Linked DNA regions of Saccharomyces cerevisiae S288C. The gene in region 1 interacts genetically with each later gene. Each region holds a gene or a part of one and is shown in the gene's direction. Other genes may lie near its edges.

Evidence for each region. Genes that interact genetically often act in the same process or in processes that back each other up.
Region 2: mutations in MRF1 (region 1) and DAP1 together harm fitness more than expected from each alone (negative genetic interaction), as found in Saccharomyces cerevisiae (one large-scale study listed by BioGRID).

What each region holds. Positions count from the first base shown.
Region 1 is NC_001139.9:232,763-237,690, reverse strand, and holds MRF1 (Mrf1p), read left to right. Parts: upstream 1-1,732; coding exon 1,733-2,974; downstream 2,975-4,928. Other genes in the region: GPI10 (putative glycosylphosphatidylinositol-alpha 1,2 mannosyltransferase), read left to right, coding at 1-1,422; putative lipase ROG1, read left to right, coding at 3,184-4,928. UniProt on the Saccharomyces cerevisiae protein: Mitochondrial peptide chain release factor that directs the termination of translation in response to the peptide chain termination codons UAA and UAG.
Region 2 is NC_001148.4:226,778-229,272, forward strand, and holds DAP1 (Dap1p), read left to right. Parts: upstream 1-1,536; coding exon 1,537-1,995; downstream 1,996-2,495. Other genes in the region: OYE3 (NADPH dehydrogenase), read right to left, coding at 1-594; MEX67 (Mex67p), read right to left, coding at 2,262-2,495.

The sequences.
Region 1 (4,928 bases):
GTTATGGCAGTACTAGCTTCCATAGGGGAATATTATATCGTAAGATTTGTTCAAAAGCTCTATTTACTTACACTTGATAAGAGAAACGAGAAGGAGGAAGAGGAGAGACGCAGCGGTTTATCCGAGATTACGAAGTTTGCACTGCTTTTAAGTTTAACTAATTTTTTTAATTGCTTTTTTATTACAAGAACGTTCATCAACTCTTTTGAAATGATTTTAACTTCTATTGCCCTCTACTACTGGGACTGGACAGGCGGACAAATGATAAAAGAGTCATCTTTTACTAAGTCGCTTATTTTTGCATTTCTGGCATGTTTGCAAAGACCCAGCAGTGGACTTATTTGGGTAATTCCCAGCATTTCCCTAATATTAAACTTGGTAGGCAAAAAGCAGTATCATTTACTTTTCATCACATTTTCCAAAGTTTTACGGTCTTTTTTTCTGGTATTTACTGCAAATGCAATTATCGACATGTATTTTTATGAAAAAGTAACGTTTCCCTTTTTCCGATTTCTAAAATTCAATTTCACAACACCATTATCAAAGTTTTATGGGGTAGCTCCTTGGCATTTTCATTTCTTTCAAAGCTTACCTATCGTATTAGGTGCAAGTATTCCCGCTTTTGCATTTGGATTATTTTTTCCACTAAGCAAAAGGAGTTTCCCAAAGAAGTATTTAAACCCGTTTTTCCAAGTGAAACTCACTATCTTGTTGAATCTGTTGGTGTACTCTACGTTACCTCATAAGGAATTTAGGTTCATCTTCCCATTACAGCCACTTTTCATATTAATATCATCATTTGGCCTTTTGAGACTTGATAGAGATTATTGGAAAAGACTATCTGGCCTAAAATCTTTACTCTGGCTTGTTCCATTCGTGTCGGTGTTCATCGCATTACTTTTGGACACATTCCACGAATCTGGATCTATCGAAGTTATGAAATTTTTACATGAAGAGCCAGAAATAGATAGTTTGGGATTCATAATGCCCTGTCATTCGACACCTGGTCAAAGCTATTTACACCGCAGTGACATTCAAGATCTGTGGTCGATTACTTGTAACCCTCCATTGCATTTACTTGGAGACCCAGAGGCTTACTCCAAACTAGAGACCTACATGGATGAAAGTGACCATTTGTATGACGATATATCGGCATTCATTTACAAAAATTTCCCACCGCCTTTTCGTAAGGATCTAAGGAGTCCAGGTAAAACATACAGCCACGAATGGCCAACATATTTGGTTGTTTTCGAGCACATGGAAAACGCATTTCTAAAGGATTTCCTGAAAGATTCATCATACATTGAATACAATAGATTCTTCAACTCTCTTGCGCACTGGGATTCAAGAAGATCAGGAGACATAATAATTTATTATAAATTACCATTCGATTATAGCGATATTCCAGCGGCAGATATTTAAATTTGTGTATTCTTCACTTATCAGTTTACTTCATTTCGCGAAAAAGCCTTTAATTATTAGTGATTTATTTACTACATGATATTAATATATGTGTATAATTATGCAATAAGGCCTCTCAGAAAATATATGTGTTACTTCTCGTTGTGCCATCTGTACTAGGCTGAGTAATTGTGTATTTCATATACTTGTTAGGAGGATTTGCTCGCTCGGAGGATAAATACAGAGCGTTAATAGTGCGTATCATATGTTTTATAATATCTCAGGAATGAAAAGTTCGTAGAGCAGAACAATATATTTCATTGGTGCAAGCATGTGGCTTTCAAAGTTCCAGTTCCCCTCGAGGTCCATCTTTAAGGGTGTTTTTTTGGGTCACAAGTTGCCGTTACTAGTGCGACTGACATCAACAACGACTAACTCTAAGAGCAACGGCAGCATCCCAACACAATACACAGAACTCTCTCCGTTACTTGTTAAGCAAGCGGAAAAGTATGAAGCTGAACTAAAAGATCTTGACAAAGACCTTTCTTGCGGCATTCATTTTGACGTGAATAAGCAGAAACATTATGCTAAATTATCAGCGCTCACTGATACATTTATTGAGTATAAGGAAAAACTAAATGAATTGAAAAGTTTACAAGAAATGATTGTATCTGATCCATCATTAAGGGCGGAGGCTGAACAAGAATATGCAGAACTGGTCCCCCAATATGAAACGACCTCCTCAAGATTGGTAAATAAACTTCTTCCACCGCATCCGTTCGCAGATAAACCTAGCTTACTAGAGCTTCGACCGGGTGTAGGTGGCATTGAAGCCATGATTTTTACCCAGAATCTATTGGATATGTATATTGGCTATGCCAACTATAGAAAATGGAAGTATCGAATTATATCGAAAAATGAAAACGAAAGTGGGTCAGGCATTATCGATGCCATTCTGAGCATTGAAGAAGCCGGATCTTACGATCGTTTGAGGTTTGAAGCAGGCGTTCACAGGGTGCAGAGAATTCCTAGTACGGAGACTAAAGGAAGGACGCACACATCCACTGCTGCCGTGGTTGTGTTACCTCAAATTGGTGACGAATCTGCTAAATCTATTGACGCTTATGAAAGAACATTTAAACCTGGTGAAATCAGAGTTGACATCATGCGTGCAAGCGGGAAAGGTGGTCAACATGTGAATACGACAGACTCTGCTGTCAGATTAACCCATATCCCCTCTGGAATTGTTGTTTCCATGCAAGATGAAAGATCTCAACACAAGAATAAGGCTAAAGCATTTACGATCTTAAGAGCGAGACTTGCAGAGAAGGAAAGGCTGGAAAAGGAGGAAAAAGAAAGAAAAGCAAGAAAGAGTCAGGTTTCTAGCACCAATAGGTCTGATAAAATTAGAACATACAATTTTCCACAGAACAGAATCACTGATCATAGGTGCGGGTTCACATTGTTGGACCTGCCAGGTGTGTTATCTGGAGAACGATTGGACGAAGTTATTGAGGCAATGTCTAAATATGATAGCACCGAACGGGCAAAAGAATTATTGGAGAGTAACTGACGAACGTAACTTTTCGTTTCTTGTAAATATCATATCGTATCTATCACTTCTGTAAATCTTCTTTTCTATTGTTCTGCGCCACGTAAGAACTGACGCACATAGTAGATGCCCGAAATATGCAAAACTCTGTGAAATAAATTGTACCGCCTCAACAGTTCAGTAAGAATAGTACACAAAGAGAGTGAAGTACGAACCGTGTTTTGCTCAAGATGTCTCTGACACCAACTAATGAAATATTGTTTCATTACAAGTCTTCAGTGAAGGTTGGTGAACTTGAGAGATATGTAATTACTTATCATCTTTATGACGGTGAGGAAATTCCACCAGATTTGAATTTAAATTCCTTGTGGTTAAAGGTGAGAAATATGAATCCGTTATCGTATAGAGCTGCGTACCTAATGGGTCCATTCATGCTTTATTGCGATGTAAAAACTGCCCAATATCATCATTCCCAAAAAATAGTTGCTTCAGTTGATTACCCCAAATTTGAACCGAATGTGCAAACTCAACAAGATTTCGTGGCTGAACTTTCAGTACATAACATACGACAGAAATACGTATGGATTGCTGATGTGATGAGTCAAATATTGTTCACTACAAATACGAACGTCACTTACGAAGTCACTATTGGAACTAGTAAAGAGTCAGTAGAAAATCCGCATGATCTGCCATCTCATCTAGGTTCTTATAGCCCTAAACTTACAGTGAACAGGTTAACTACCTTGGATTTGTGGAATCTTCCCGTTCAGATTACCACACCACAGAAAAAGAAACATCTTGTAGTTTTGACACATGGTTTACATTCTAATGTGTCGACCGATCTAGTGTATATTATGGAACAGATATACAAAGCACAAAAGAATTATCCCCACGAACAAATTGTTGTGAAAGGTTATAGGGGAAATGTCTGTCAAACTGAGAAGGGAGTTAAGTATTTAGGTACTCGTTTGGCCGAATATATTATCCAGGATTTGTACGATGAATCCATCCGCAAGATTTCTTTTGTAGGTCATTCATTGGGTGGCCTAATCCAGGCTTTCGCAATAGCGTACATTTATGAAGTCTACCCTTGGTTTTTTAAAAAGGTGAATCCAATAAATTTTATTACTTTAGCTTCACCGCTTTTAGGTATAGTCACAGATAATCCCGCCTATATTAAAGTACTACTTTCATTCGGGGTTATTGGAAAAACAGGTCAAGACTTGGGTTTGGAAAATGATGTTGAAGTAGGCAAACCGCTTCTCTACTTGCTATCTGGTCTGCCCTTGATAGAGATTTTGCGTAGGTTCAAAAGGAGGACAGTATATGCGAACGCTATTAATGACGGAATTGTCCCATTGTATACCGCATCGCTATTGTTCCTAGACTATAATGATATCTTGGAGCAATTACAGAAACTAAAGGAGAACAGCAAAAAATCACCGCTAATAAATGATGCTTCAACACCTGTGAATCAAGATTTCTTCAATAAAACTTTCATTTCGCCTCTGACTAAAATGTTGAGTATACTGGCGCCACAAAAGTTTCCTACGGAGAATGGTTCCGAAATTCCTAAAGTATCATTTTTCGAGTCAGCAAGCTCAATTCTCCTTCCTCCTTTACCTGAAAGAGCGTACATAATGGATCCAGATTCAAGAGATCCTGTAATTATTCATGATAAGATATACAATGAGGATGACATTCCACAATCCGAATTTGATATCGAAGACGGTTTTTTTGGTAAAAAGAATATACTCCTTCAGGCTTTTTTTGCAGGAAAGAAAGAACGTGCGAAGTATCGAAATTTGGAAGAAACGATTGCTCGAAGGTGGCATGAAGGAATGGCATGGAGAAAGGTTGTCGTTGCTTTAAAACCTGACGCTCACAACAACATTATAGTCCGAAGAAAGTTTGCCAACGCATACGGTTGGCCCGTTATCGATCATCTGATAGATGTCCACTTCAATGGTGATGA
Region 2 (2,495 bases), on another chromosome or scaffold:
CAAGTACCCATTGGCGCTATGAATTTCTACACCATCGGCGCCAGCCGCGATAGAATTCTTAGCCGCATGGATGTAATCCTTGATATACTGTTTAATGTCGTCTTTAGTCAAACTATGTTCGAGATTATTCGCATCTTTGGCCTTTTCTTGTAACGTAGCATTCATATACACTCTGTCAGATGCACAGTCATAGCGTAACCCGTCTCTTGCCAATACGTCTGGGAAGGATGCCCAGCCTAAAGACCAAAGTTGTACCCACGCGAACGACTGACAATCATGGATGGCTAAAAAGATATTCTTCCACTCAGCGACCTGCTCATCAGACCAAATCCCAGGGGCGTTGTCATAGCCGCCGGCTTGAGGGGAAATAAACGTACCTTCCGTGATGATCATGGTACCAGGTCTTTGAGCACGCTGACCATAATACACAGCAGCCCACTCCTTATTTGGAATATTTCCGGGGTGAGTGGCCCTCATTCTGGTCAATGGGGGCATAACCGCACGATGTGCAAGCTGAGTGTTACCAATCTTAATTGGTTCAAAAAGGTTTGTGTCTCTTAGGGAGATCGGCTCAAAACCTTTTACAAATGGCATCTTCTAAATTTAAACTTCGCTATACTGAACTACAGTTGTTGTATATATCAAGTACGTACTTTTTTGCATATGATGGGCAAGAATCAAGCACAGTTCACAACCCTTATATAGGTTCGAGTTGTCCTACTTACAACACTGTGCTTAGTAATGGTTATTGCGACTTTATCCTTGTTCTGAACGGAGTTATATCAGGAACGCAAACTGCTTACTAAGGAGCCCTTCTAAGGAGCCCTCCGCAAATAATAGGATCGGCAATTTCAGACGGAGGACGGAGCCGCCTAAGTGCCAAGAACATTAAAGAAGAAAGAAATAAACCTTGAGCGGCTACACGAAACAGTGGTCAAGAGTAGAATCTCTGAAACGTCGAACCCTCTTTGTCAGTTATCGCGGGCATATTCTGAGAAGAAGCAATATACAACAAACGAGCAGGACAGATTAAAATTTTCAAGGCGAGGTAAGCTGTGCCAGATCAGTGTGGGACGACGCTCAGTAGTTGGCGATCGAAGCACGTGATCAGTTTTCCACATCCGTGATTTGGCGCAAATTACCATGTGAGCGTGCGGGAATAAGCTCCTTTATTTGCGGAGCGACAAAGGAAACGAGACCATATTACCCTACCTTCCTTGTTTTATTTTACTTTTTTTTCTAATTTTAATTTTCTTCGTTCCTTCAACTGTATGTACCCTTTTTCTACCGGAAATAAGACGGTCGTAGTGTCCGCGTTTTTGGTTCTTTAACGACAAGACATCAGTGCCTTCTCGCATTTTTGTTGAATTGTATTGTATTATGCTCGATGTTTCCAGAACGATATATACATCTGAGAGTTTATATATCAACGATCATTTTCTTGTTGCAGTAAGCTATAATAGACGCGTCAAATAGTCTAACCAGTCTAAATCTCATCAGCCACACACACGTACATCGGAATATTATAGAGAACAAATGTCCTTCATTAAAAACTTGTTATTTGGAGGTGTTAAAACAAGTGAGGATCCAACCGGGCTCACAGGTAACGGGGCCTCAAACACAAACGATTCTAATAAAGGTAGTGAACCGGTAGTAGCGGGTAATTTCTTTCCTAGGACGCTTTCCAAATTTAACGGCCACGACGATGAAAAAATATTTATTGCTATTAGGGGCAAAGTATACGACTGCACAAGAGGGAGGCAGTTTTACGGTCCAAGCGGGCCATACACTAACTTTGCAGGCCATGATGCGTCGCGTGGTCTTGCATTGAACTCCTTCGATCTGGACGTTATTAAAGATTGGGATCAGCCTATCGATCCCTTAGATGATCTGACAAAAGAACAGATTGACGCACTGGATGAGTGGCAAGAGCATTTTGAGAATAAGTACCCATGCATTGGTACTCTGATTCCGGAGCCTGGCGTGAACGTATGACGATTGAGCTCCGCACATTATTTATTAATAGCAAACACCAAGGAAAGGGAAAAAGGAAGGGGCGTGGTGGACGATGATATATGTATACATATACATATCTATATTTTGAAAAAATCTTCTATATAACGGTTGTATAGAAATAATTACTTATTTATGAATTAGTACAAAATATACAAAGCATGCTGCTGTTCGGAACGTGACGAAAACAGTAGCTTAAACTGTATATTTTTTGTGATACTGTGCGGCTGAAACAGGGAACAATATCATTAGAACTGCACAAATGCTTCTCTAGGGATGCCATTCATGCTACTCTGAAAACCCTTTATGGCAACTTCATAGTTCCAGTTACTTTGCTCGGCCAACATAAACGTGTATTCTGCATTCAATTTCGTTTCCAAATGTAGTTTATTCAGCAGCTCGAGTTGTACGGGATTTAGCCGCGACTGGACATCTGGAGGTAGTTGCAAAGTGGGAGCCATGACCATGGCTCCTTGGGGTGC